Alligator mississippiensis: one gene and its partners. The protein of the gene in region 3 purifies or fractionates together with the protein of the main gene of each other region. This does not show direct contact. Links are inferred from orthologs where the notes say so. Each region holds a gene or a part of one and is shown on either strand. Other genes may lie near its edges. The genes, in order: MAP3K14, TNFRSF1A, IKBKG and CNTN2.

Evidence for each region.
Region 1: the proteins of IKBKG (region 3) and MAP3K14 purify together in Homo sapiens (affinity purification with mass spectrometry; 6 studies listed by BioGRID and IntAct, counting the BioPlex papers as one, with this or other methods). This does not show direct contact. The link is inferred for Alligator mississippiensis from reciprocal best matches to the Homo sapiens genes IKBKG and MAP3K14.
Region 2: the proteins of IKBKG (region 3) and TNFRSF1A purify together in Homo sapiens (affinity purification with western blotting; 4 studies listed by BioGRID, with this or other methods). This does not show direct contact. The link is inferred for Alligator mississippiensis from reciprocal best matches to the Homo sapiens genes IKBKG and TNFRSF1A.
Region 4: the proteins of IKBKG (region 3) and CNTN2 purify together in Homo sapiens (affinity purification with western blotting, with the first as the bait; 3 studies listed by BioGRID). This does not show direct contact. The link is inferred for Alligator mississippiensis from reciprocal best matches to the Homo sapiens genes IKBKG and CNTN2.

What each region holds. Positions count from the first base shown.
Region 1 is NC_081827.1:161,165,080-161,173,007, reverse strand, and holds the start of MAP3K14 (mitogen-activated protein kinase kinase kinase 14), read right to left. Parts: upstream 3,011-7,928; 5' UTR 2,918-3,010; intron 1-2,917.
Region 2 is NC_081824.1:254,190,724-254,197,651, reverse strand, and holds the start of TNFRSF1A (tumor necrosis factor receptor superfamily member 1A), read left to right. Parts: upstream 1-3,926; 5' UTR 3,927-4,088; coding exon 4,089-4,127; intron 4,128-6,928.
Region 3 is NC_081831.1:29,095,937-29,103,253, reverse strand, and holds the start of IKBKG (NF-kappa-B essential modulator), read right to left. Parts: upstream 3,009-7,317; 5' UTR 2,790-3,008; coding exon 2,633-2,789; intron 2,336-2,632; coding exon 2,145-2,335; intron 2,037-2,144; coding exon 1,947-2,036; intron 1,675-1,946; coding exon 1,564-1,674; intron 1,371-1,563; coding exon 1,306-1,370; intron 1,082-1,305; coding exon 1,025-1,081; intron 916-1,024; coding exon 804-915; intron 714-803; coding exon 595-713; intron 525-594; coding exon 372-524; intron 253-371; coding exon 156-252; intron 48-155; coding exon 1-47. Other genes in the region: G6PD (glucose-6-phosphate 1-dehydrogenase), read left to right, coding at 3,324-3,405, 3,820-3,947, 5,555-5,592, 5,669-5,777, 5,951-6,168, 6,620-6,778, 6,874-6,999, 7,123-7,216. UniProt on the Homo sapiens protein: Regulatory subunit of the IKK core complex which phosphorylates inhibitors of NF-kappa-B thus leading to the dissociation of the inhibitor/NF-kappa-B complex and ultimately the degradation of the inhibitor.
Region 4 is NC_081837.1:40,559,412-40,566,957, reverse strand, and holds the start of CNTN2 (contactin-2), read right to left. Parts: upstream 3,016-7,546; 5' UTR 2,820-3,015; intron 1-2,819. UniProt on the Homo sapiens protein: In conjunction with another transmembrane protein, CNTNAP2, contributes to the organization of axonal domains at nodes of Ranvier by maintaining voltage-gated potassium channels at the juxtaparanodal region. May be involved in cell adhesion.

The DNA of each region.
Region 1 (7,928 bases), on a different chromosome or scaffold from region 3:
CACATTTAGTTTTCTATACTACCCCAGCAGCCTTCAGGGCACATTAATAGATACAACAGCTTGATTCCATCCTCTCCCCACCCCCCACCCTCACCCCACCCCACCCCAAAGCACTTTTACAGGGAATTGACTCATGAATATCACTTCCCTAACTTAAAATAAAAGAGCATTTGAAGGATGCTGCCCAGTTAGGTTCTACATGAACCATGTAGCAGAACAGCTTTTTAACAATGCAATGTTGTTTGGGTAGACAGGACACAGCTATTGCCAAATATTACAAAATACTGTAAACTCCAAGGCCATTAGGCCATCTACCCTTACACTAAAATATCAAGTAACATCAGCAGGACATCAGTTTTCACTTAAATGGTTTTACTCAACTTCACACATAAGCTTCGTTTAACTATTCCCCTTCAGTCTTGTGAACCCAAACATTATTGCAGTGAGGTATGAGAACCAGAAAGTGAAACTGAACTGCTCAGTTTCACTGTTTAATCTTAGGAAATTACTATTAGTCAAATGCTAACCATTTTAAATGATGTACCATCTACAAATTCAACTTTTAGATTCATCTAGTCACTTCCAGGTTATCCATCATGTTACCAACATGCCAAAATACAAAAAGCAAGCAGTCCAACAATCTTAAGACGAAAGGACTCGCCCTCTCATGAAGCTGCTGTACAGCTTGAATCCAATGCTCTTTCCCTTCAAAATGCCTAATAATCTCAATGTTTCAAGGGTGTTGGTTGTAGCCATATTGATCTAAGGATATAGGCAGACAAGGTTCTTTGGGTAAAGCTGATATCTTGTATTAGACCAATTAAAATAGTTGGGAAAATTCTTCTTTGCAAGCTTTTGGGTACAAACATCCTTCTTCAGGCAGAGGGTAAAAGATATCACATTTACCCAAAGAACCTTGTCTGCCTAATAATCTCAATAGGCTTTGAATCATCTCCCACATGTTCCTAGAGGTTTTCATTCAGTTCCACACACACACACACACACACACACTTAAAAGGACTCCTGATGTACTATAAACATGATTTCAAGTTACCTATATTTCCGGTCACACAGTACATTTTTTTTTTTTAGAATCTTTATTTTCCCCAAAAGAAAGCTAACATTTAATATAGTTAATAACTGATGACTAATTCAAAACATATTCATTGCAAAGTCATTAGTTTTAGGCCAGCTAGATGGTGCTATGAACATTTATAGCACTTCAATGCTCAATACCTTGAATCAGGATTTTAATTCCCATCTGCAGTGTCCAACTCATAAAAAAGACCCATAAAAAGCAATCTGAAAGTTATTTATGCATGCCAATTTCATGATGCCATTTCTGATGTACACAGCAGGGTACTATGTACATATGTTTTCAGTTCAACTAATATCAAAAAGCAGCAGACAGGAAGCATCTGAGAACACCCACTGCAGTAACTTAACCAGTCCAGAAGTACTAGAACATTTTGCCAAAAATTGTTTAAAAGAAAAAGTGATATGGTCAAATGAGAACCGAGTACAAAGACAGTTTAACTGACTACAGATCTTATTCACTTTTATATTTTGATCAACTGATCCCAAGGTCTTAACTGCCTCATTCTCTCTCTCCCCACTGTAATGAATAACTTTGTAAATCTGTGCCTAGCAACACCCAATCAAAACAGCAAAGTCTGCAACTTAATCTCTTATCTGAAGTGCTTCTTTAATGCACTCTGCCTTAGACAGAAAGCAGGCAGGAAATTAGTTATTTCAAAAACCAAAAAGGAAAGTTTGCTTACTAGCAGCAAAACAACATCTAAGCTAAAAACATCTCTTTTGATCTCCTCTGACGATCTCACCAGAACAGAGAAAAAGGAAAAAAAAGCACAGCTCAGCTGAAGTAAATTCAAGGCTCCATCATCTAGGCTTAAAATACATATTAGACAAAACTTGCGGGGTCATTCAGAAGTACAACAACACATTTCCATGAAATAAATGTGACCTTGGTGCTAGAATGTAAGGAACGATCACAATCCAACACAGCACATTAAGGAAACACCTGGTGTCCACACACACACCCCTGCAAACTATTTAGAAGCCTGCCACTCTCCAGAACACTGCCTGGACCAAGCAGTCATTTTCCTAGCAGTATCCCTCAAAATGCTGCTGCTAAAAGAATTTAACTTCTGTGCAACTGGTGCAGAAAGCAGCATTCTGCAGCTTTGGATACAGTGAGCATCACCTCAAGAAAGCTTGAGATTTTATGACTCTGTGCACATATGCACACTTGTGACCACACATCTCCACACACGCACACTGGTGACCACACAAATCTACATCCACACATGACCACATGTGTGCACATGACCAGATACGTGTGTACACAAGCACACACATGTAAAGCTGCGATTGTATACGTGCACACACACACACACACACACACACACACACACAGGCATGCAAGGCTGTTCACACACGCCACCGCATGGTTGTGATTTTGTACATGTGCATATGTGGGTGTGTGCGTACACATAGGCAGAAGGTTGTGTGTATATGTGCATGTGGCATGGTGGGTGTACGACTACCACCCCACACGCTGCCGTCAGTGTGCAAGGTGCCGCTGTCCCCTGCCTTTCGCCGAGCGCGGGTGGGCCGGCCGGCCGGCCGGCCGGCAGGTGCGGCCGCGCAGGCGGCCCCCAGGGAAAGGCCGAGAGGCGCGGCGCGGTGCTCCCTCCCGCTGGGCCGGTGCCGCTGGGAGCGGCGCTGGCAGAAACTCGTGTCCCCCACGCGGCGGGGCCGCCGGATGTGTTCGGTGAGGAACCCGGCACCTCGTCCGCCGCCGGTCCCCGGCTCCCGGCGGGGGGATGGAGGTCAGACGTGAGGGGGTCCGACGCCCCGACCCCGGTCCCGACCCCAGCCCCCCGGCCGCACCCACCTGCCGCTCCGCTCCGGCCCGCGCCGCTCCCCGTCCTCCGACACTCTGAGGCGCCCAGGCCGGCCGGGCAGCACACACCCCGGCCCCCGCCAACCAATGGGCGCACGCCGCAAGCCACGGCAGCGAGGAGACCCCACCCCTGTATCCCTAGCCCTTCCAAGCCAGCAACCAATCAGCGCACCTTTCCCGGCCAGCAGCGCTCGCAACTGTCTGAAGACAGAACCACCGCCCGCCCACCGCCTCTTCTCTCTCCGATGATTGGCCGAGAAGCGCCTCTGTTTTCCCAGAAGTGGGCGAGGCTTTCTGCAAACCCTTTTCTTTCCCCCTTCCCCCGGAGCTGGGTGGGTGTTACCAAACTTGTTGTATTGTGCATGCGCGGCGTGACCGGGCTGCTTAAGGGGTGCCAGTCCGTACGCTCGGATGCTCCTCATCCCCGGGTCTAGGGTTGGCGCATACGCAGTGTGGGGCTGCCCGTTCCACGGCTGTTGGGTGATCCCAGCCCTTTCCCGCCACAGGCGCCCGGACCTTCCGGCCTCGAGCGCGGCTCGCAGTGGCAGCTGGACGCGCAGCCAACGCCCGCGCAGTTCCTGCCTCGCCCCTGCTGTGGGGGATGTGGCCTCTGGTGCCCCGGAACCTGCCCTGGGCCGTGCACGCAGGGCAGCCCCCCGCTTCCCTGTCCTGCTCCCACCTCCTCAGCAAATATCAGCAACACCCGACTGGGGCTCCCCAGTGGCTTTTCTCCTCCGCAAAGCCAAGGGAAGGCAAGTGCAAGGCAGAGGATTTTATTATTATTATTATTATTATTAATAATATATTTCTTGTTCCAGGTCAGATCAAAGAAACCAGTCCCAAATCATGTATCGCTCCAAAAACCGTATTGACTGAGCAGGCAGAACTCAGTTGTTCTCCACCCCATGCAGGGCGCTACAACCTGCCAGCATCCTCCATCCCAGCCTCTCACCCTGGGAATTCAGATACTCCCAAATCCATTGGCAGGCATCCTCCATGCATGCCCAAGCCCAGAGGTCTTGGGATTCGGGTGCCCCCACTTGATCCTGGCCCACAAGAACCTGAGATCTGAGCCAAAAGGCATAGAAGAAAAACCGCAACCTGACTCCCAGGTCCCCAAACAGGCACTCCCATCACAGGGCTCCCACTCCACTCCCCATCTTGATCCTGCTGATTCCCCTTCAACGCCTCTGTTTTTTCTTCATAAAGAGCACCAATGCTTTTTCCCCACCAGGCACTCTTTGCATGACTTGAGCCTCTCCTCCCACGCCCAAGCTCACTTCCAGGGCGATGATGCGGCATTGTTGGCTGTTTCCCAAGTCTGAAGCCTTGTTAGTAGTCTCTGCCTAACATGGGCTATTAGTTTCTCCCTCCTGCTCTAAAGCCACTGGAAAGGGACATGGAAAAAGGCTGTGTTTATGCTCATTTTTCCCCCCCTGCCACCCTTCTGGTTTAGCTGAAAAAGCACTACAAAGTTTACCAGGGAAGATTAAAGCTCTAAACATTAATCAACTATGCCCTGAACACTTGGTCTGGGCTCCCATGGTATTGTTGGATCCATAGAAGTTTTGTTCTTCCTGCTTTCCTCCCTGCTTCCAGTTTTCAGGCTGAATTCAAAACTCTTAATTTGGCATATGAAAACCTAGGGACTGCAAACAACATTTAATTTAGTGAAATTAGTCCATACAAAAAGGCAGAGAAAGCAGATCTCTGTGGAAGGTATTAGTTCTGACATCCACAAATTATTCTTTACAAGTTCTGTTGGAATTATGAATTGAGGCTTCCACCCATCTGTGGACCAACATCTACAATTTTCTCTCAGTCCTTAACTCTTGCCAACTTGTGTTGACTTCACTACATAGTTTCTTTCCCTAATGCTCTGCCATTTCTCCACTAATTTTAAATGTAGTTGGTGTCATTTTAAAAGACAGCAGCCTATAGATATATAAATAGATCTTTTTGAATTCAGAATTGGTTTCAGAATTAGTGGCCAAATATATCCTCAAACAGCTGTATTCCATTTTGTGAAAGGCTTATAATTGGCTGTGGTGAGTACAATACTGCCATCTACTGTAAGTAATGTCAGATTTATACACCTTAATCCTTTTCCAAGTAAATTATCCTTAAACTGATGTGCTTGAAATGCGTGTGAACAAGCAGGATCCAAGTTCCCCCTCTTTATATTAGCCTACGAAGTCTTATGGTGGCCATTGCTCAGTTACAATCCTACCAGTCAAGAGCCAGCTGCTTATAGGGCAGCATACAGGCAGAAACATACAGGGAAAAGGTAATGGAAGATCTCTGTTGTTAAATTTCCACCAACATTACTTTAGGAAATGTACATGTATCACCTAGGGATTTTCTGAACTACCACAAACTAAGGCAGTCAAAGGGAGGAAAAAAAATGAAAGGTGGTGGCACACAAATGCCGCTTCCATGTGGGGTGTACTTGAGATGCTCAGATGGATGGTTGTGCTTTCATGAAGAGAGAGATTAAGCTTTTGAACAGCATGAGTTAGTAATACATTTAAAATCCTCTTGCTGATTCTCCCTATTAAGGACAGACAAAGAGTTAATATACTTTTCAGCTTCTAGATTACATAGACAAATACACTTATTCACAGTTGTGATAGCAGAGATAAGTCAGTCTCCGCAATTTCCTGTTCTCAGATTGGGCTAAGAAATGCTTAACTTGAAAAAAACTCTGAGGGTAAGGAGAAATTAGGCCCCCAATACGCCCTGGCCACCTGTTTCCACCTCTTTGATTGGCTGAAGACGGATTCACTGCGACTTGTGTAGAAGTAGATGACATGCTTTGTGCCCTGGAGGAAGATGACTCATTAACAGCTTGCAGCAAGAAGGTTTCATATGAAAAAAACCAAGCAAGTTACTCTGACCAATCTTGAAACTTCAGCAGTAACCGGATCCTGTTTTTCTGGCTGAAGGTGCACAATTACTTCCCTCTACCTTGGGCATATATTGACTGAACGTTGTTATGCGCACAGACCTCTCTCTTCTACTCATAGTCTTGTCACACTGGCTATTTTTTTTTTTTTTAGTTCTTTGGTCTTACCAGTATGAGGAATCCTACATGGATGGAGCTACACAGAACTACCAAATAACATTATGACAACCTGAGGTTGCACAATAATATGGTGACATTGGATTATCATAGTCCATCATCGCAAATTATACTTTGTAGTCAGCAGGTTCTTCCTTGACTACTTAGATGTAATCTGCACTACAAGGTTTTGCCATCAGATTTCCAGTTCTGCCCACAAAAATTTGAGTTCATACCTAAAATTCATGGGTGGTGAGAGAAGCCTCTGAAAAGGCCACAAATAATCAGGATCTTTTTACTCTTATTTAGTACAGGAGAAATAGTCTTGTATCTAAATTATGCGACTGGGATCCTTGACTCCTTTTTTTCCCCCCCAACCCTGGTCCGATCAGCTTCTTTGTTGGACATCTCAGTGGAAAGTTTCAGGGTTGCACAGATAGGAATCCTGCCTGTCTATCTCCCTCTTCTGAATTCTTCCCTTATTTTTACTATAAAGAACAGTCACAGGGTTAGAACATCAAGGAAGTAAAAGAGAGGCATATTGGACTGTAATGCCCAACTCTTACCCTTACAGAGGCCTATATATTAAAAGGAAGAATTTCAGCCTCACTTAATTGGCCTTAAAGCCCCAGATCCTTATGTCACATGTCAGTTTTTTAAAATGATAGTTAAATTATCTAGTTCTTATGGTTGTAAAGAAAATATTGAAAATGTTAGTGAACACAATGTTAGTGTACACGATGTAGTAACAAAAGCATAGCATTCCTGACCCCTCTCCTTAGACATATTCAAAGTAAATATTGAGGGTCCCTATTGTTACCATACCAGTTCTCCCTTCATTGACACTGTCCTTACTGGGCACATCTACACATGCGGTTAATGCATTTGAATTTTCTGCACAGAAGATTCAGGTTCATTAAAGTGCTCCAGGGTGCATGTCTACACGTGCACACAGTGTCGGGAGCAAAATTGCTCTCAATAGGAGCATTTGAGTCCAGGGCTACTCCTGCCCTGCTCTGCCCCTCTGCAGGAGCTGGGTAGGGGAGGCTCCAGCCTCCCCTGGCACCAGCCCCAGGCTGCTGGGGGTCAGGCCTGGGTTCTGGAGAGTGAGGGGGAGGGCTGTCCTGGAGCGAAGGACAGCTCCAGCTGTGTGGAACTCAGGATCACAGTTCAATGGTGCTGGCTTGGGGTGATGCCCATACCTGAGCATGGGCTTAAGCAGCACTAGAACTGGGGTGGGGGGACATTGAAGGTGCTGTGGCCATCTTTTCTGTTGTCCTTCATGCTACCCCGACAGCTGGCATCTTCCTTTTCTGGGCGGACTGCAAAGCTGGACCACAGTGGCAGTGAGGTAGGGAACCAGCATTTTATTTTTATTATTTTTTTGTTGTTGTTGACTTCACAGACAATCCCAGACTTTGCAGTTTCTGCAAAATCCATGAAACCAGAATTTCAGTAGGCCCTACTCATAAGTCATGCTTCCCAGGCTTCTAACCATTTTTGTCACTCTCTGCTACAGTCCTTCAGATCTGCCCACATTCTTCTTGAAGTGTGGGGCCCCAACCCTGGACACAGTACTCCAGTTAGTCTGCAAGGTATATCTCTACCCTGCCTTCCGCCTGACTTCAGACTAATATCTATGGCTTGCATCCATAGATGCTTCTCAAGCAAATCCCAGGACGTCATTCTCCCCTTGTACTCGGCCTTGGTGAGGCCGCAGCTGAAGTACTGCGTCCAGTTTTGGGCTCCACAATTCAAAAAGGATGTGGAGAAGCTTGAGAGAGTCCAGAGAAGAGCCACGCGCATGATCAGAGGTCAGGGAAGCAGACCCTATGATGACAGGCTGAGAGCCCTGGGGCTCTTTAGCCTGGAAAAGCGCAGGCTCAGGGGTGATCTGATGGCCACCTATAAGTTTATCAGGGGTGACCACCAGTATCTGGG
Region 2 (6,928 bases), on a different chromosome or scaffold from region 3:
CCAGAAAAACGTAGACAGGGAAAGCAAAGGGGAATGTGGAGAGGCTAATATGAAGAACTGTAGGGCTTCAACTGAACTTTGATCAGCTCTGAAGACTGAAAAACTTGATGAGGATGAGAGTGGACCTATTCACTTATGAAATGACATGAGGAAACCTGGCAAAGGCTTTTTCCTTTGGGGACTGACTTTTTCCCCATAGGTTTTATTAAAAAGCACATTTGAGGTTTTGTTCCTGGTTCCTGGGGAATGATCTTTGTTTGGTCATGTTTGACAACCCTTCCAGGAGCAGGATACTAATCGCCATTGTCCCCCTGCTTTCCTTGTGGTAAGTTAGGTTGCAAGATAGCATTGATTGTATAGTTTTATTAAGGGGTTAGACAAGGATTTGTATGGGATGTCAGGCAGGTGGAAGGACTAGGTGAACTCCAGAGGCCCCTTCCAGCCCTTCTTTTCTCTGATTCTGTGTTCACACAAGGAAACAAGCTAAACAAAACTAGACATGTCTTTTCCATCTCTAAAGTCAGAACTGGCTGTCGCCTAGCAAGTCTCCTGGCTTTTTCTTTCCTGTTCAATATTACAGAAACTCTGGGGCTGAAGAAGCAAAATTATCTCAAGTTTGAGGTGAAGAAGGAGGAATTATTATACGATGCATAGTGATGATAACTTTTTGTCTTCTGCACAGTGTTAGTAGCCCCTATCTAGTAAGTGAGCAAACCTTCTATAAAGAAAATCAATGAAAAGGTGCCTTGACTTAGTCTAGAAAGGTTTAAATGCCTGAATTAAGTGTTAGACTTTTTTTTTTTCCTCCAGATTTCAGTATATGACATGTCCATACTTACAATATTCTCATGTCTAGGTAGGATCAAGTTAGTATTTTGGTTAATGGCTTCACAGGATTTCTGATTGCACTACAAAGATAATTGTACAGGGAAGACCCTGTTCCTCTCTCGTATTGTTCACAGGCAAGGAGTTGCTGCTATGAAATTTTCCTCTCCAGTCCTGCTGTGTGGTTTTGGGAGATGCAAGCAGAAGATTCTCGTGTGCCCTTGAGAAGCTACGTGTGCCCTTGAGAAGCCAAGGGGGCAGCAAATGAAATTCATGCAACCTTTTGAATCTCAAAAGAAGAGAGCTTTAAAGCAAAAATGAGGGCAGGATCCTTGTCCCAAAGAATTTACAAATGTAACGGACAGCAAGCAAATGAGATTCCATTATCATTTTTATCATACTGTTTTCACGTTATTTTTATTTCTACTCATCTCAGTCTTTTAAGGCAGGTATTAAGTAAGGTTGATCTTGCCTGGAGATATTCTAAGTGCTTTTAACTTTTTATTTTAAACCATTTTTAGAAGTGCACCGATATATTGGTGCCATATTGGATTGGCACCGATAAAAGAAAAATTACCATTATTGGCTATTGGCTTTTTTTGGCCAGTGTAGCCAATAATGTCACCAATAAATATAATATTGGGCCTCCAGATGCCACGTGCATGCGCGCAGTCACATGGCCAAGAGTGCAGCCAGGCGGTGTGGAGAGCAGTGCCCTGCGGGTAAGTCTGTGGAGGGGAAGGGGCATGGGGGGGGTAGATTGAGGTTACCACAGTGAGGGAGGAGTGGGGCAGGAACTCCAGCCAGGGGGGTGAATGGGACCTGGGGCAGGGAGCAGGACGAAGCCACAGGTGGCTCGTCCGGGGGGCACGGGGACATGGGGGTGGCTCCCCACTGCTGTGTACACCCCCCTGGGGGAGGCATGGGGAGGGCATGTGCCCCCCAGATTTGTGTGTGGGGTGGATGCGGACTGTCCACTGTGGGCTTAGGGCTCTCTGCTCTGGTGCCTTTGCGCTGGGGGCTCCGTGCCGGCCATGCATCTCCTGCCCGCTCAGCAGTAGTGGGGGTGGTGAGTTGTGCGTCTCTCTGCCAGGCGGGTAGGGGATGCACGGCCAGTGCGAGGCCCCCAGGGCAAAGGCAACAGTGCATTAAGCCCTGAGCCCACAGCGAGCAGCCTACATCCACCCTTGCCCTTCTCAGCTCCACTCCCATCAGAAGTGTACCCGTGCTTAAAAATGGTGGTGGTGGCACTCAAACTATGAGCTTTAGTTCAAGTACCCCCACCACCATTTTTAAGCACTAGGATGCTGATCACCTGGACAAGCTGCCTACGCTGGCCCCAGGTCCCATTCACTGTCCTGGCTGGGCAGTGCCCCCAGCCCCTGCCCCCACTCCCTCCCTCCCTCACCGTCAGGGCCTCGATCTGCCCCCCATGCCCCTTCTCTCTCCTACACCTCTTCCACTCCACAGACTTACCTGCAGAACGCTGCTCTCCACGCTGCCTGGCTGCATTCCTGTAAATCGGTTATCTGATCAGTACTAGCTGATATGGCTGGTTAATAGTCAGCTATCGATATTGTCCAAGAAAATGTTTATCGGTGCACCCCTACCATTTTTGCACCATCAAGGCAAATAGATGTTAATTTTTTCTTGTTTCCCCTTTTAATGTAACCACATTGCTAAAATATATTAAAAGGTCAGCAAGACTCAAATCTTAGAAAATCTTGAGAAATGTGACTTTTTATTACAGTTTGTTTCATATCTGCAAGTGAGCACTTTTTTCATTCTGTGATCCTATAGACCACTACTGACTTTTCTTTAGAGCACTCCATTTTCCATTATTAACAAGGCTTACTCAGTTGGATTGTTATTAAATTAGTAATGAATTAATTATCAGCCAAAGCTCTGTTTTTAACACACAACCTTAAAAGGGATGGGAATAAGAAAATGAAAAACCCAGCATTTATTGCCACCTTTAAGTTTCAAAGTGTTCTCTAAATTCATGAAACTTGCACTTTAATACCAAACCTTAACTCTGATAGCAGGATCAGTTGCATAAAACCCTGCTGGTGTTTCTTACTATGGCACAGTCCATTCATTTACAGTTAATGTCTACTTGATCATTGCAGAGGTGATGATCAAGGTTGTGCATTAGAATATATTGTACTTGCTTCACAGTGTTTTGGAAAGCCTTCGTGACCAATAATTCGGAGAAGACTTCTTGTTTTTAAATGCAGGCTGAGATAATGGAGAACAACATGACATCCTTAAAATGCTGCGTCACTGAGTTGAAGTAACCTAATTCTCATAAACCCAGGCACTTTTCTGTACTGAGGTGACGCTCAGTCTGATGGATGTGAAGGGTTGATGGAGTTTTGTCCACAGTTGCATGAGAGACAGTTGACATCTTTCAATAGCTTATAACTCTTCCCAATCTGAACAGATTTTCACGAGACAAGGAAACTACATTTTCCATGACTATCCCTTGTTAAACTCCAGAGTCTTGCTGCAAACAATTGAGGTAGTAGCGCTGTTAAAAAGTAGTATCTTCTTTTTCTGTCATTTAAAATGCAAAGTAACCAAAATACAGAGCTTGCTGGTGATCCCCTTAATAAGAATCTTTTAAAAAGTTTCTGCGTGGATCGTTAATATAAAGAGCACCATCTGCCGGCATATTGGGATTTATAGCAATAGGTCAGAGTTGGTTGTGCAGAGTTCTTACACTTCAAATTGTTTCCTGATTACAGCTTTGGGGCTAGCTCATGGTCCTTCTCAGCCTTGATGAGTGGGAAGAGTTAACAAATCCTGTGCTCTCCTAGAGGCAAAGGGGTGGGTACTTTTTCTACTCTTCTGCTCCCCCTCTCCAAAAAAAAAAAAGCTGCTTCCCTGGGTCTCCCTATGCCCTAGGGAAGAATTGATCTGAGGTAAGCTTAGCTGAGGGACTGGGTCTCTATCTCATGGGGGAGGGCAGTGTGAATGGGGGCAAGTGCTGAATTTCTGTCTCACTGTGCTGTGGAACACGTAGGGTTAAATTGGATGGTGGGGGAGGGGTACAGTTTGATATTGCCTCCCATGTTTCACCCGCCCTCTTTCCTGTTTCTGCCTCTCTTGGTTTGGCAGGAAGTTGCAGGCACTGATAGTTTCGATCTGTCTCACTCCTTCTGTGAGTCCCGTGTTGGAGTGGGAGGCCTTTTCTGGGTCTCTAGACTGGGAGGCTTTTCAGGACACGGGGATTTTGCCATGGGGACGTAGATCGCAGGAGCATGGCCCCGCTGGAGCCCTCAGTGGGCTTGGTTATTATGGTAAGTGAGGGCTTGAGAGAGGCTGACTTTAAGGCTGAATCAGAGCTTGCGGGGACCAGGGTGGGGGGTGTGCCAGGTGTGGAAATGGCGCTAGGTGTGGGAGGGTTTGAAAAGGAGGTGGGAGTCAAATCTCCTGGGTCGTGTTTGGAGCTGTTGTATCTGGCAGATTGACAGGGAAAAGGGATGTCAGGGTTGTTTGAGTTGTATTTCTGCCCGTGCCCTTTCTTCGAGCCCTGTCTGTCTGTGTGTTGCCGTTTCCCTGTCTGTAGAAAGGGTAACTCAGTGGAAGTCACCCTCTGCCCATCTCATGGGGGCCCTTTGCTGAGGGAGCCTCTTTTTTGGCCTCTGCAGTGAGTTGTGATGGTCCTCAAGCTGGCATGCTTGTTGGGCAGAGGCTCCCTTACCTAAAATATCTTTGTAAAGTTTTTGTGCGTGCAGCCCTCTACAGCTCACCAAAACTCAGTAAGCAGCCCACCAGCCGAAATAATTCCCCACCCCTGCTCTAGAGTGTACGTTAGTAACTTGTTTATATAGCCATGTGATAATTGGATAAAAGGAAACCTAAGAGAAATTGAAGGCTTGCACTATGTTTCTTGAGGTGCTGTCACTTACCTGGATCCTGCTTTCCCTTATCTGCTCACCACAGGAAAGAACACTTTGCTCAGCAGTGAGGGAGCTTGCTTTTCCTGAGGTTCCCCACTTGCCTCCACAACCCTTTAAGGTGGGGGTGTCAAACATTAGGCCCCGTGGGCTGGATGAGTAGTGTGGAGCCAGTCTGCAGGCTGGATTGGGCCCACAGACTGGCCCTGCAGACCGGTTCAGGGCAGGCACCTCATACAGGACGCATGCTGGACCCTGTCTGGCACACACAAGATTTGGCCTCATGCCATATGCAGCATGTGGGACCGATCCAGCATGCTCCTCATATTGGCAGATGGGACCTTTCTCAGACCCACAGGCAGCACCCTGGCCCAGCTGATAGAGCTCCGCAGGCCCGATCTGGCTGGCAAGTTTGATCTTTGACACACTTGCTCTGAGGTCTCTGATTTCTGCTGGAAATGCAGTGCTGAACTTTCCTGTCAATGCTCACAGTTCTAGTGCCTCCACTTCCATGGATTGTCCTGAATCCAGTACCTTTTCCCAACCCCTTCTTAGGCCTAGTCCCCTTTCCTTTGTGTCCAGTGTTCTGCAGCAGCTCAGGTCTCCTTTTATCCATTTCTCCCTCTTGTATCTCCTGTTCTTCCTCCCCATGTATCCAGTGCCCCCCAAGTACCACTCCCTAACACCCTCTCATTCCCCTTTCAAGCATAGCCAGTGCCCTCTACCCCACCATGTGCACCTGGTGTCATTTCCAGTCTTCCTGCTTATTCCTGTTAGCCTGATAGTACTGCATCTACTGAGCACCAAAGTGCAATGCTGTTCCACTTCTCAAGTTCTTGAAAAATAAGAGAAAGGTGAATGGGTTCTCCTCCTTCTTGCTGCTCTTTTCAGATTTAGTCTGAAGTCTAAGGCAATGGTGTGTTACAAAGTTACCCATGTTCATGTTTTTCAGGAGCTTGAGCAGTGTAGAATAAAATTACACTTGGGCACCTAAATGGTGTTTAATGATGGTCTGGAATCTGGCCCTGTGTGGCTGTATAAGAGTAAACCATTTACTTAGAGACCTTGGGGTAGGAGGTGTGTTAAGTGGTCTCAGGGATGTTTGCAGAAAGGGAGGGAGAGGGTGTCAAACTATATTTGGGAGTCTTCAAGGAGCTTGCCACTATGGATGGGACCATTCTCAGACCCACAGGCAGTACCATAGGCCTGTGGGTGGGGGAGAGGTCTGGTGTAGGACTGCTGTGAGGGTGGTGGAGTGTGTACGAGCACCAGAGTCTTGGTGGAGTGTGTCAGAAGTACTCTTCAAGGCCTGTGCAATAGTGAGGTGACTCAGAGGAGTCAGTAAAGGATGAGTTTTATTTCTTAGCTCTAGTGGCTTCTTCATGGCTAAATATTGAATAATGTTTTGTGAAAAAAGTGAATCCAGGGGTTACTGTAGCACAAGGTTCTCAAGCCAGCAGCTGCCATGCACCTCTGCCCCATCCCTGACACAGCAGCAGCAGATCATTTCACAAGCTGCTAAGCTGCTTCCGTTTGTTCCTGAGTTCCCAACTCAACAGGAAGGAGGCTGGACTTACTGGAATGGCAGCACTTGCTTCTGGGAGTTGCAAGTTTGAACATTTAACCCCGGAGGTGCTAAGATCAGCTAGGAGCCTCTTACACCTCTAAAGGGTTAAGGGGTTTCCTTCCTGCGATTTGATAGTTTCATAGTAGCTAGGGTTGGGAGGGACCTGAACAGATCATGGAGCCTGACCCCCTGCCACAGGCAGGAATGAATGCTGGGTTCACAAGACCCCAGACAGGTGATTGTCCAACCTTCTCTTGAATTTGCCCAAGGTAGGGGCGAGGACCACTTCCCTGGGAATTTGACCCCACGCACCTCCCCACTCTTATAAACTACCCTTGTAAATGTGGGGGTTGATAAGGGTCACTACTGACTCAACAGAGAGACGGCTCTGTTCTGACTCACCCATGGCCCTCTGTGTAGTACTCAGTTATTCAGGGTTTGGTGGCAATACTTGTTTTGCGCTGTGAGGAATCCGGCTCAGGGGACATGTTATTAAAATAGAGAGCCTTACTACCAGCCACAATCATTTAAAAATTGCAAGTGAGACCTTCCCCACAAAACCATGATTTTTTAAAATCTAATACATTTGGGTTCTTTTCCTTCTGGTTTTAGAGCCGCCAGGCTTATTTTTGCA
Region 3 (7,317 bases):
GCCTGCTGCAGCTGCTGCGACAGCTCATCCAACTGCCACTCTAAGGCCTAGATAGGTACATGTGGTCTATGCTGCTGTCCCCTACCACCCTGGTGATGCAGCCCCAAGGCCAGGAGGATGACCCACAAACACGCGTGCCCCTGCTGGGGACCCACCTGGGCCCTCTTCTCGCCCTCTATGCTGTTCTTGATGTGGCTGTCATATTCCTGGAAGAGCTGGTGATAGGCCACCTGCAGCTGTGCCAGCTTCCGTCTGCAACAAGCAGACCATGGGGGTGTTAAAGGCAGCAGGTTGGACCTTTTCCACCAGCTCCAGCTCTGCCACCCCCAGCAGGTCCTCCTGGCATCCTTCCCACCTACCCCCCGCCTCACTTCTCCTCCGTGGCGCCCTGCCGCTCCACACGCAATGCTGTCTCCAAATTCTGGGCCTGTAGCCGCAGCTGGTCCAGCTGCACCCCATGCTGCTCCTGCAGAGCCTCCACGTCCCCCTCCAGCCGTCGGCACTGTTCCACAGCTGTCCGTGCCCTGCAAGGAGGCAGGGTATGAGCCAGTGCCCAGCCTTGGAGGTACCCTACACCCCCTTCGACACACTCACCGCTCTGCCAGTGCCTGCTTCTCATGCATGCAGGTCTCCAGCCGGCTCTGGCTCTCTTGCAGCTCACCCAGCAGTGAGGTCACCTGGGCCTTCACCGAGACCCTGTCTTCTGTCACCTGCTGTGGGGAGCAGCTGAGGCTGCATCAGCCCCAGCCTGCAGAGGCCCAGCTTGGATGCCCCTGCCCCAAGGGTGAGAGGGTAGTACTCACCTCCAGCTGCTTTCTTAGGGCCTGGAACTGCTGCTCTGTCTCCTGCCCCTGTGCTTTCAGTTGGCTCAGGTCCTCCCTGGCTGATGCCAGCTGCTGCTTCAGCTCAGCACACCTGGGGAAAGGGGGGGGGGGGGTGATAGTGACTGGTACAGTGCACCCATACTGCCTACCCCCCTTCCCCCAGGGATTCCATGGCACCCCCTGGGCTCCACTCAACACACTTGTTTTCAGTTTCCTCTAGCTTCCTGTGCAGCTCCTCAGCCTGGTCATCTCTGATCCTGGATTTGGGGTGGGGGGGGCAAGACAAAAGGGTGAGGAGCCCCCAGAGGGGGTTGCCTGCTTCACAGACACAGCCATCCTGCCCCCAACCCCTGTGCCTTTTCCCAAAAGGAGGCAACTGAGTGATCCAGGATCATCCCTCATCTTTGGGGAGTGGAAGGAGCATGGTGGGGCACCTGCAGGCTTCTTCCAGCCCCCCACTCAACACATGCATGGTTCTTACCTGTTGTTCCCAGCCCCTTGCAAGGATTCAGTCTTCAGGAGCTGCTCAGCTAGGGTACCGCTCTCCTGAACACACCAGAAACTGTTCAGCGCTGGCCCCAACCCCCATCACCAGCTCAACTGCCTGCCCTCCCCCCCCAGGAACAGGTGTCATGTCCTGCCACAAGGGGCCACGCTGCCTCCCTCAGTGGCCCCATCTCAGCTCACGGAGACAGGAGTCAGCCCAGATGCCTCCAGACCGCACCTCCAATACCCTCACCTTGACCAGCAGCCTCTGCTGCTGGGTCTGGTTATGCAGTGGCTTCTCTCCCAACAGGAGAGTGTCTGCTTCCTTCAGCACTGCCTGGTTCTCCTTGCTACGGTCAAGAGCCTGGGGGAGAGGGGAAGCAGGGTGGCAGGCAGGGGATGAAGGCCAGACATGTGTGCACCCCTGCAGTGGCTGCCTGTGTTCCCTCCAGCATCTTCTGCTGGGAGACAATAGGCCTAGCCAACCCCTCCCCTCCTCCCAAGCCCCCCCAGCCAGATCCCTTCCCCCTCAGCTGTTTAGGGGGATATGGAGCAAAGTTAAGATGGAGACAAACACGGGCACAGCAACCCAGACATCTAGGCTCATGCAGAACCTCTGGCCCCAGAAGCACTCACCATCAGCGCTACAGGCGTCTCATGGGTGAGAGTCACGGTGTCAGCCTCATCCAGCCCAGCTGGCTCCAGGGTGCATAGCAAGGATGGAGGCTGGGGGGGAGAATGAGACAGTGTCTCGGAGACCTTCTCCACGTGCCCCCAAGGAAGAGGGTGAGTGGGAGTGAGGGAGACCCACAGCATGACCCAGACCCCCAGTACCTGGCAGGCGCTGCGCAACCACTCAAGCTGTCGCCGCACCTCCAGCTGTTCATTCTGCAGCTGCTGCACCAGGGTGCGGGCCTCATGGAAGCGCAGCAGAAGGAAGTCACGCTCCTCACGCCGCATGGCCTGAACTTGCTGGAACTCCTGGCATCGCAGCCGTAGCGCTTGGTTGCCCTGCCGCAGAGCCTCTGCCAAGCCACGGGGGGAGCACAGAGGTGTCAGGACCCAGCCACACCCTCCCTGGAGCACCCTTCACCGGCCCCCAGCGCCACACTTTCACCAGCCCCAGATTGGGGAGGGGGGTTGCCGCTGCCCAAAGGCACTGTGGACTGCGTGCTCCTTGCCTGCTGAGGCCTCTTCAGGGGCACCGGGGAGGCCAGGCCGAGGCCGGAGCCTGGGCCCAGCCCAGGAAACAGCCGACGGCCGGGAGAGCCAGGTCGCGAGGGTGGACAGAGAATCCCCAGCCGAGCTCCCAACCCCCTTACCCTTGAGGTCCTGGTTCTCCGCGGCCAGGCGCTGCCAGGCCTCGGGGTCCGGCGCCTGGGGCAGGGCGTTGGCGTCAGCATCACCCGCGGGGCCGGCCCCATCACCGCCCCCGGGCGCCACCATGTCCGCGCTGCGCCGCCGGCGGGTCCCGCTCATCCAGCCCCGACGGGCCCCTTTGGGCGGAGGCGTGGGGGGGACGCCTCAGTTCGCTTGTTCTGGAATCAGGGCCCCGGACGTCTGGGTCCCACCCCTGTGGCGGGGCTCGGACGCTCAGGCCCCACCTCCAGGTGGGGGGAGGTCTGCCGCGATACCTGGCCGCTCTTGCGCCACTCCCGGCCCCGCGCCGTACTTCCTCCTTCCGGTCTCGGTGTTTTGTTTACCCCGGAAGTGTTACTAAGACGACCCGGAGCCGGAAGGAAGTTGGGAAGGGGCGTCGGGAGTTCAATGCACCATAGTCGGGAACTTCCGCCTCGGTATCTGTCATGGTGGTGCAGAGCGTGAGGCTGTGATGTCAGAGGCTTTGTGACAGCTCTCCCCGCGCCTCCCTTCCCTAATCTGGACGCTAGGTGGCCTAGCCCGGGAGAGCGGGGTTCAGTCGCGGGGCGAGCCAACCGATCGGCTTCGTCGCTGATTGGCTGGAGCGGAGAGGCAGGTCCGCGCTGGCTGCGAGGCGTGGCCGCAGCCTTGGCAATGGGGAGCCGCGAGCGGCGCCGCGACCCTGATACCGGCCACGGTCTGGATTCTTCTACGACTCCGACTCCGCAGCGGGCAGGTAGCAGCGGGTGCATGGTCCCCTCCCGCGGGGCGGGGCGGGGCTTGGGCACCTGGTCCCTTTCCCGGGGGACGGGGGATCCCGGACACGTGGGCCCTGTGGTGATGGCCCCTGCCCGAGTACCGTTGCGCTGGGGCTTCTCCGCTCCCTCCTGCCCCAGCCGAGCCCGCCCGCCACTTCCTCCTTTCCTGCCCCCCTTCCCCTTCTGCTTCCCCTTTCCCCTTCTGCCCCACCCCCACTTCCCTTTTCCCCTCTGCGCGGCCCAGCCCTTCCCTTCTCTTCTCTAGCCCGGGCCTGTTGCAACAGGTGGGACCTACCTGGTTGGCCCGGCCGGGCCAGGCCAGGTGCCCCACCCCCGGCGCGTGGGCATGGGCCAGGCTGTCCCTGCTACACACCCCATTTCTTGCCCATCAGACCACACCATGGCCAAGCCACAGGAGCTCAGCCGCTCACAGGTGTGCGGGATGCTACGCCAGGAGCTGTGCCAGGGGCAGGACTTCCACCCCACTGATGCACATGTCTTTGTCATCCTTGGTGCCTCTGTGAGTAGTTCCCCTGTTGCCCCTGTCCACTGCTAGGGCCCCAAGCCCAGGAATGGTGTTGGGGTCAGGGCCTGGAAGCAGCCCCCGAGCTTAGGGCCCTGGAGCATGGCAGGGGCATCTCCATGGGGCCGTGCCCCTGCCCTCCCCCTGCATACCACCAGCCCCAGATGTGTGTGCCTGCCCCCTCCAAATACTACTAACTTCTGGCCCGGTCTCCTGCCCCCAGCACCCTCTGCCCCATGGCCAGAACAGTGCTCTTCTTTCCCTGGGGGGTTCCCACTGTCTCCCAAGAGCCTCTCCCTGTTGAGGGGGGTTGGGAGGAGTGACAACCTCCTCTGCTTCTATACTGCTTATTTGTGCACACAAGGAACTCAGGTATCCAGGATGCAAACCAGTTCTCCCTCTCTGCTGTGCCACGCTGGGGGCTGGGAGTGAGGTTGTGACCCTGGGAGGGTAGCTCCTAGCACCTGGGTCCACATATCCACATAAGAGAAATAACCAGGCACTCCCTAGGGGACCCAGGCTTTCAAGGGCTGGAGCCAGGCATGATGCAGCCCTGGGGTGGTGGAGATGGCCTGACCCCTTCTCCCTCCCACCAGCCTCGCAGGCTGGTGCTTTCAAACCCATTGCCCTGAGGTCACCCTCCCACCCTAGGGGAGCTGGTGCCTCCCACCTATGCCATCTGTGCCTCATGCTGCTGCTCCAAGCGTGGCCCCAGCAGGAGATTTTGGGTGGGTGGAGGTGGGGAGCGGACAGAGGGTACCCTGAGCACCCATTGCTGGGGGTGTCAGGGGAGCCTGGCTCTGCTAAGTCACCGTGAGTGCAGTCCTTGTGTCCCAGCCTGCCCCAATTAGCATGGGCCATGGAGCAACACACACACACCCCCTCTCCGTGGAAGCTACATACAGCTTCAGGGGCAGGGGATATTGGGAGAGGGTCTAGGACATACTGAGCCCTCCTTCCTGAGCCAGGATTGGGACCAGAGAAGCCTGGGGGCTGGGCAGTCAGCCAGCCAGTGCCCTGGGTAGGGGGAGGTTCTCCCTTGCCTTGAAGTGGGGAAATGGAGGCAGCCCTGGAGCTGGGCCTTGGGACCCTCCTCCCCCACCCCAGGCAGGTTTGGTGAGCTGTTGAGTGTTTGTGGTAGATAAAGGGCAGATAAAGGAGGTGCCAACACCCAGTGAGTCTCTGGCTGCCAGGGGATGCCTGGCTTCTTGCCAGCACCACCCCCCCATGCTTGCCTTTTGTCCAGGGCCCAGCCCCCTTGACTCAGCAGATTCCCATTGCTTAGCAATCCCAAATCTACCCCTTCCCTGCCCCTGGGCAGGCACAGCCTGGCATCAGTCCCAGTCCTATTGGGTGGCGTGAGAAGGCCGGCCACTGTGGGCGGGGGTAAGCTGCCCTGACCTAGATAGAGGCACAAAAGTCTCACAACAATGGGGCCAACAACAGTGCTGTGTCAGGAGAGGGGAGCAGGGTACAGCCCTTGGGAAAGGGACTGGGTTGGAGGGATCCTGGGCTGTGCCCCATTGTGATACCCCCCCCCCCCCCCCCCGCTTTTCTCTCTCTCTCTCTCTCTCTCTCTCTCTCTCTCTCTCTCTGTCCCCAAGGGCGACCTGGCCAAGAAAAAGATTTACCCAACAGTCTGGTAAGTGCCGATCCCTGCCCCCCATCCCTCTCCCAGCATTCCCACAGCCCTAATACACTGCCCCCTTCTACCACAGGTGGCTATTCCGTGACGGACTTCTGCCTGATGACACCTACGTTGTTGGCTTTGCCCGCTCTCAGCTCACCGTGGCTGACATCCAGCGTCAGAGCGAGCCCTACCTCAAGGTGGGCAAGCCCTACCTCTGTTCCTGCCCCAGAGCTGGGGTCTTGAGGGGGTGGATCCTGCAGCAGGGTGTTGGAGGTGGGAAGCTGTTTTGGGGTCCTCCCATGCCCTGGGGCTGGGCTCGTGTGTTGGGGTCTGGGTTCCTCTAGTGACAGGGCTTCTCCCCATGTGACAGGTGGTGCCAGAGGAGCGGGAGAAGCTGGAGGCCTTCTTCGCCCGCAACAGCTATGTGTCAGGGCGCTATGATGAGCCCGCAGCCTTTGCCCACCTGGACGCCCACCTGCGCAGCTTGCCCAAGGGCAGCCAGGCCAACCGGCTCTTCTACCTGGCCCTGCCCCCCAGTGTCTATGAGGATGTCACCCACCACATCAAGGAGGCCTGCATGGGCCAGGGGTGAGGTCGGGGGGCAGCAGGCCTGTGTGTGGCAGGCATGAGGTGCTGGGGGCTGAATGAGGGGGTGGAGGCAGGCCTGTGTGGAGTGTGGGCTGGGGAATGATATGGAAGGGGTCTATGTGGGGTAGGGGCAAGGGGTCAGAGGGCACAGGGCTGGTAGTGAGGGGCTGGGGACTGAATGGGGCAGGCCTGCATGGACCAGGGGTAAGGGGGTGGTGGCTGATGGGGAGGCAAATCTGTGTGGGGCAGGGGTGAGGAGCTGGGGAGCAGAGGTGGGGGTCAGAGGCCATGGAGCTGGAGGATGAATGGAGGGTGTGTATGAGCCAGGGGTGAGGAGCCTTACGGGGGTGGGGCTGGCAGGAAATCACAGGGCGGGGAGATGGGTGGCAGGGTTCAGGGCCAGCCCAGGCTGCAACCACACGTAACATGCCCCCTCCACCCCCTTCTCTAGGAGTTGGACACGGGTAATTGTGGAGAAGCCATTCGGCAAAGACCTAGCAAGCTCAGACAAGCTGTCAAACCACATCGCGGGGCTCTTCCGTGAGGACCAAATCTACCGCATCGACCACTATCTGGGCAAGGAGATGGTGCAGAATCTCATGGTGCTCAGGTCAGCACAGGGGAGGCCAGTCCTTGGCTGTGGGGACATGAGACCCCAACCCCTCCTATAGCCCTTCACGCACCCTGTGCTTTCCTCCTGGGCAGGTTTGGGAACCGGATCTTCGGGCCCATCTGGAATCGGGACAATGTGGCCTGTGTCATCCTGACCTTCAAGGAGCCCTTTGGCACAGAGGGCCGTGGCGGCTACTTTGATGAGTTCGGCATCATCCGGTAAGCCAGGGCAGGGCACTCAGAGCAAGGTGGGATGGTTGGGGGCCATGTTCTTAAGGCAGAGGGAAGGGCTGTGGAACTGGCACTGACCCCCCTCCCTTCCCCCCATCTCCCACCCGGAAGCGATGTGATGCAGAACCACCTGCTGCAGATGCTCTGCCTTGTGGCCATGGAAAAACCAGCTTCCACCCACCCTGATGACGTGCGGGATGAGAAGGTGGGCACCAGGATGTCTGGGGGGCTCCAAGCCTGGCCTGACCCTGGGGGGATCTATCACATGCGGTGGGGGGGGATCCGTTCTGACCCCACAGGGGAGCC
Region 4 (7,546 bases), on a different chromosome or scaffold from region 3:
GGTAGTTCTGTAGGTTTTCAACCCTTTCTTCTAAAGGTCTCCAGTTTGTTATAGGGCATTTGGGGAGGTGTCTTGTGACCTGTTGCGTGCGGGCTGGGACAGAGGGGTTGTTTTTACGGATCCCTCTGGGTTCAACATCTATGATACGGTGGCCTGTGATAGCTGGGCACTGGACCCAGTGACCCACGTGTTCCTTTCCAATCTTAGGCTCCTGGAGTCCAAAAGGGGAATAGAAATGAGAAAAAAAGACAGGAAGCTGAAGAAAGATGAGAGGGGAAAGAAAGCAAGGAAAAGAGGCCAACAGAAGAAGCGGAGAATGAAAAGGGAAATGAAGGAGTGAGGTTGCACTGGGCAGGGCGGGCCCAAGCACGTCCTTCGTCTGAACTAGCGGGACAAGCTCTTACACAGGGGGAACAGCTCTTCGTAACTGAGAGTGTTCCTGGGGAAACCCTCTGCTTCCTTGTGAGGCTTAAAAGAGTGCATGGCTGGAAGGAAAAGTGTTTCTGATTTTCACTAGTGCATGGGAAAAAGGGCCTTTCCTGCTTCGCTCAAGCTGAAACCACGTTGTAAGGTCCATGCAAATGTTGGGGACGCTCACGTTTTGAGTAGAACCTTTTCCCTTCCTGCCTTATTGAAAAACAATATCCTGTAGTGTTTTAGACTACTCGGTGCAAGCCCTGCTTCATCTTGTCAAATACTGCGTGCTGGATTGTCACCTCAAATGAATTTATTCAATAGACACTTCTTCAATTCCCAAAGCTCCCATTTTGTCATGCAGGTCACTATGGGGGAGATAATTTCTTTAGCACTTCAGGTATTTAGCGGCCCTATGAAAGTCATCAGAGCTTGGATTTTTGGAAAATCCCCTCCTTACGAGTTTTACTGTGCTCCTTATATATTACCCCAAACAATATAGCTTTTGATAGCAGTGTCGTTGTGTTCTTGAGTCACAGTATTAAGCACCTATTGGGTTTTGCCGGATCTGGAAAAGATCCACTTGGCCATCAGGACAGCAGCCCCAAGCTGCTGTCCGCTGAGTGGCCCTTGCGGATGCTTCCTGCTTGCGTCAGAAAAGCAGTTTCCATGTCCAAAAGGTGCACAAAGGTTAGGCTGAGTAGGGGTGGGAGCTAGCTTTTCTCTGAGCAGGGGAAGATGAGCTGAGAGTGGGATAAGGCAACACCTGTGGGCTCCTGGTTAGGGTGGTACATGGTTTGTGCAGCATAACAAGGTGCGCGGCTGTGCAATTTTCCAGGCATGTCTTTAGTGAAAAGCTCAGGACTGGGGCATAGTCGGTCCTGCCAAAGCAGCTGGCCAAATGGGAGGTTTTGCCCCTTCTGCAGCTTTTGCAGCACTTGTGCTCTTGGAAATGTATTGGGTTCAGTGTGTCTGTTATCATCTCTCTTCCCCGATACGTTCAGAGCGGTCTCCTTAGCAGCTGAACACAGCAGCGGCGCACGCCAGCGCTTGCTGAAGCCGTGCTGGTCGTTTGAACGCTGCTTGCAGCCCGTGGTGACATTTTTCAACCAAAGCTGGCCAGGCCCTATGCAGAGGGCATTGCTGGGAAGGAGTTTGCTTCCCCCCTGTCCATGTAGGCATAGAGCTGGGCCACCCAACACCTCGAAAGGATCAACTAGTGTTTGAAACAGAGGGACTTTTTTTTAACTGCCTTCCCCCCTACAAATGAACTGCTCTGAAGGCAGATAGGATCATGCAGGAGGGCAAGGGAGGGAGCAGAAAAGGGGGGGGACCCACTTGTTTTAAAAGCCAAGCTCCTGCATAGCTGTAGCAGCTAACCACTCTCGCCCACCCCTTCAGCAGTTTGAGCATCCTGGTAGAAATGGGGCAGAGAGGAGCCTCGTGCTCCTTGTGCCCATCATCTCCTGCCTGGCTCTGGCCTCCACCACTTGCCTGTGGGCCCAGCCTGGAGATTTTCACCTGTGACTTGATAACTGAGGTGACCCCTCACTGATTGTCACCGTTGCCCCAGCTTCCCCCACAACCACCTTGCACCTCCCCGACAGGCTGCAAAACCCCTTGGTGGCCTGAAACACAGTAGTCATCCTCAGCACACACGGAGCAGCCCAAACTTCTGCTCTCCACTTGAGAGCTGCAGTCCTAATTAGGAGCAGAGACAGGAGAAGCAGTTGACGGCTGCGGTGGCTCTGATCCTCTCTCCTTGCAGTGGGGAAACCAAAATCCCCATGCTCGTCTGCCTGCACCCTGCTGCCCTGGGTCTCTCCCAGCCTCGGGTGAAACCCAGCAGTGTTTGTTGTTGTAGGAGTGGGGAAGAGGCAGGCTAGCAAAACCCTCTGTATGGTAGCTACCCTTCAGCGAGAAATTTGGGGATCTCCATCACCATGAAGTGCCCCCACATCCCGTGCAACACCGTAGGCTGACAGCATGACTGAAAACCCACCGCCCCTTCACAGCTCTGCTCGTGGTTAATACCAGCATCCAGGCACTCTCGTCTTCAGCCACAAGTGAGACATTCCCGGACACCCCACCCCACCCCACGCCCAGCCCCTTTCCAGCACAGCGAGAGCTTGCAAGACAACAGCTAAAGGGACAAAACCCATCTTGCACCGCTGCCTACACCATCCCTTCCCAGTGCCAGAGGGCAGGCGGCCGGTTCCCTGAATGGTATCCCCGATGCCATGCAGCTTGTTCCCTGAATGGTACCCCCAATGCCATGTTCCTAAGGCAAGCTGAACGCTGCTGGAGGTGACTGAAAGTTAACATCGATGCTTCCTTGCCATCCAGATAGCCCTTCACTCCTATTCCCGAATTGAGGCTTGGAGAAGCAGAGGGAGACCACTTACCTGGGCCTGGATTGACACGTGCGTGTGCACGCCCGGGGCGAGCGCCTGTGCAGGGGAAAGCCTGGCGTCCTTGCTGCTGAAACAACCTTCCCGTCGCTGCCTGTCCTCCGCCTCCCCCAGGCAAGTCCTTCCCAGGCGCTGCTGCTTGCCTGTGTGTGGATGTGTGTGCGCCCAGAGCCACTGCAGCATCTCTGCATTAGGATGTGCTCCTCCCTCTCCCTCCCTCCCCTGCGCGCTCCCTCGCTCGCTGGCTTTCAACCACCACTCGGGGTCCCTGGAGAGAGGGATTTTTTTTTTTTTGTTTTTTGCTCTCTGCCTTTACCTCATTTACCACAGTCCAAGGACCAGTCAGAGAGGGAGAGCGACTTGCAGCGTCATACATAATTCATGCTCCTTCCACAGCCTGGGCTGCTGCTGCTCTCACCAGCTTCAAACACAACCACCCCCAGATTGGACTGATTCGCCTGGGGACCCACCCCATCCTTAGTGCCGAAGGATTCAAGGAGGGCATCCCTGCGGGCCTGAGCTGGGAGAGGGCGGGCCTGGGCAGGCAGGGAGGGGAACAGGAGCTCTGCACACAAGGCTTGAGCCTTGCTAAGTGCATCCCCGTTTCATGCAGGCAGTGGGACTTGCTCTCGGTGTCGTCCCGAGACACCCCGCCAAGCTAGGGGAGCCTTGATTTTTAGCAACGGCACTTAGCAGCGTGGTTGGGGTGGGCAGGGAGCTCTGCGCACATCTAAAATGAGTGTGTGGGGGGAATAATTCAGAGCCAGGTTATAGCGGGGCATTCCAGCTCAGCCCTGTTACGGAGGGAGAGCTGGTCTCTTGAGTGTGGAGCTCGTTGCAAGCTGTCGCCCAGAGTCCGCAGGGTGCTGGGATTCGGGACGGGCTCCCGAAAGGATGTAGTTGCCTATAGGGACTGGGAATCCTTGTGCCATCCAAAGCAGGTGCCCTGCGGTTCTGGTAACGAGAGTCTAGCTGACGGGCATTCTTGTAAGTTAGTTGTATCGAGGCTTGTCTCTTCCCCTGCCATCCTGGTCCTATCTGAGCACTTCCCAGGCAGGACAGGATTTGTTCACATGCTAGGATGAGGAAGTGGGGTATGACCACTGTCTGTGCTTTGATGGAGGATGGAGACATGAGGGGGCTGTGCAACTTGCCCAGGGCTGTGCAGGGAGTCTGTGGCAGAGCTGGGGGTGGCATGCCAGTCTCCTGTTTTCAGTCTGGTGCTTTCCAGCAGAAGCCCTTCCTTGTTTTTTTGTGGAGAGAAGATGAGAAGTTTATTAAGGCTCTCCGTGAAACGTGGCAGGGACGCTGACCTAATAACGGAGCGACTTTGTGACACCCTGAGGCCACCATGAGCCCAGGGTAAGGGAGAGTTAGGGACATGAAGCTTCCCAGTGACCTGTGTGCAGCTTCACTGGCTAGACTAAAACTCAGAGCCTCTTCTTCTTCCTGCTGGCAACCACAGGTACTTCTCTTCCTCTCCCAATTTGAAATGAAATGAAGCCCAACTAATCTGAGATCAATCCATGTGGATTCCCATGTACGTGTGGGTACATGAGAGGGCCTCTGGGCATGTAGTCACTACCTGCGAGTACTGAACTAAGCTATATCCTCACTTCTTTGGCAAGTTTCCTACCTGGCTGCTATAGTTCATATTCAGATACACCGCAGCTAGGGTGGCGTTTCCTACGTACCAGCAGTATGTGTGTACCCACGGACACGCACATACTGCCAATGGCTAGAGCAGAGTTAGATCTGCTTGCACCTACTCTGAGCTTGGATCGTGACTTTCCCATGCTCGTGGAGGACCCTAAAAGCCTCTGTTTCACCAGCGAGCAAGTGCTGCACAGAAAGCAAGGCAAGGCTGCCCACCTCCCTTTGTCCCCCTGGAGAGGCCACCTCCACTGCTCATCCCATCCTGCTGGGACTGCCCAAGTGGGGTCTGGTAGGTTGTATGATGAGCCTGTTTGTCCCTGGAGGACTAGCTTCAGATCCCCCTCCTCCCCAGACAGCTGCTAAATTGGCACTGTCACCACAAGGAATGTCTTAACCTTGGCTTGGCCTCCTGTGCACCCTCTATGGCTAATGAATACATCCTGTTGTTTGCTGCTCCCAGATAGGACTCTCAGTGGTGTCCACGGGACACACTAGGCGCCGATGGACGGGGTTTCGGCGCACGGCCAGCAACGGCACGAGGTGGCTAATCAAACCATGTCCTATTTGGACTCTTCGCTGCTGGGTGGGGAGTGGGACGTGAGGGTGGGCTGCAAAGACCCCCATCACTTTCTGTCCCTTCCATCTGGCCTCACGCTGACTCCAGGGTAAGCTCATCAATAATGGAAGGAGATCAATGGACATGGGCTTGGGTCTGTCCACACATTAATGGCCTGCAATTACAGAGGAGTAATTAATGCATTAGCGTCCCTGTATTGATTGGCAAGGCTCCAGAAGGCCAGATTCCTCTGGTTGGGCAGGAGCGGGAAGGAGGAAGTGTTGCTTGCAGTTGGGCTGCTTCTTTCTCATAGATGAAGCAGTCGGTGACAAAACACGTGTGCATTTGTTCTGCATCACACCCCTCCTCTCGTGTGTCTGTCTGATCTCCTGTCCTGCCAACCGCCGCAGCATTTTGGCTGATTTGCAGCTGGGAATTTCATGGGTCACCTGTATGCGCTCTGATGAGAGGTGAAACCCAGGTGTGTTTCTCTGTTCTCCGTCTCTCCCTCTAGTAGTCACTATGCTTGTGTGAGCAAGGTGGGAGGGTACTGTACTAGGACTCAGAAGATCCTGGGTTCAACTCCCAGCTTTCTTGTTAGCATGCTAAGTGACTGGCACCTGTCCATGCCTCAGTTTCCCCATCTGTAAAATGGGAGCAATGCCACCGATCTTCTTTGTAGCATGGTTTGAACAGCCCTGTAGAAGAGCTTGAGATGATTACAACAACGTCAGAGGACTATGTAGGATAGAAACTCCCTTGGCACTTTTATGGGTGTTGAACCCCTCCCTGTCCCTGCTGCAATCTGACATGGGGGTCTTACATGCCTCCTGATCTTTAAGCACCATTGGTGGATTCAAGCAGATGCAAGATCCTTCTCCCCTGGCTGTAAACCTTTGTGTGCAGGGTAGCTGTGGGCCATTGAGCAGTGTTTCATTGGCGTATCAGGTTCTGAACAAGCTTTTGTGGATCCTTCAGGCTACAGGTTGCCATTGTGCACAAGGAGGGACCCCAGAGACAGGGTGCTGACACACAGTTCTTCTGAGGGCCTAATAGAGCTGCACGTTCATCTCCACAGCAGGCAGGGAGAGACGAGCAATCTGGACTCAGTGCAAATCTCTGAATTTGGGGCATGTTGGTGGGTGGGGCTGCAGCAGTAATCTGGCACTCTCTGGTGTCTATGACCCTTGGGATATGGAGGGCCACTTGCTTTCTTTGCTTTCAGTCACTGGAAACTTTTGGGGGAGGTGTCCGTTATCCCTGTAGCTCCATGGGTAACACGGTGCATCTCAGTTGCACGGCTGACCCCCTCCAGGGCAGCCGTTGATGCCAGATGAGACTGGGACCCTGCAGTGTGGTCACCCACAGATCTTCCCCTGCAAGGAGAACAAGCACGCTTGAAGATGGACACAAAGGAGGCCTAGGGTTGTATCCCACCCAGCAGGCACAGCTCCAGGGGAAGAAGGGCTTAGCGGGATGTTGGGCTGCAAGGGACTCGCTGGCCACTGCTTCCCAGGAGAGAGGGCTGAAGGGGATGTTCACAACCAGGGTAGCCCAGATCCTCAGTTACACTGAAAGGCAGTTTGCTCCGTGCTTCCTGCAGGAGGACAAGAGCCTGGCGCTGACCCCACAAGCCCTGCAGCCCCTGAGTACCCACGCAGGCACAGCGAAGGAATTTGGCCACACACAAGGTTTCGCTGCTCAGCCATTGTGTTTTTGCTGCTGGGGACAGAACAGTGTGGCTAGATAGCAATCAGCTTCCCCACGATGCTAGCCTAACCCTCAACAAAAGGCCATTGATTACCAGGAAAGGAAGGACCAGCCTGAAGGAAATCCAGGCAGCCTGCCTGGATGCAAAGGGCATTTGAAGCAGGCAGCAAACTGCCAAGGGCAGCCAGGGAGGTGGGGGTGTTGGAGAGGAAGGGAGAGATGGAGGGTCTGTTTTCCTGGCATGGATTTCATTGCTGAGGATGGGGGGACGGAGGTGGGTGGGGAGGGGGAAAGGCTGTTGTGCACGATTTTTCTTTTCTTTCTTTCCTGTGCTGTATGCGGAGGAGGAGCGTTCATCTAGCTGTAAGCCAGACCTTCGGGGTCCAGACCAGAAGAGCCTGGGCCTGCTCCTCCTGTCTATCTAGTTTCCTGTGTTGGGCCCATTGCAGTGGTATAGGATCCCTTACTTTGCAGCGGGGGGATGTCATAATCCTCTGGATGGGTGTTTATCCTCCCATTTTAGAGCAGGTGAAGGCATTGGTACTGCAAAGGACACCACTTTCTCATCAGGCTTTTCTCTGAGTGCAGGGCAGGAAACTGGTGGGACTGTCAGGATAACGAGAGCAGCGGGGGCTGGGGGGGGGCTGTGACTCCTTCGCTATTACCTCTCTGCACAGCGGAGACTGGCCAGTAATGGGAAGTAGATGGATGCCTCCATTCCACCGAAGAGGGTGATTAAGGCAGTCTGCTGGCATCGATCCAGACCCTAGGGGTGAGAGTCGGCGGAGGTTGGAGAAGA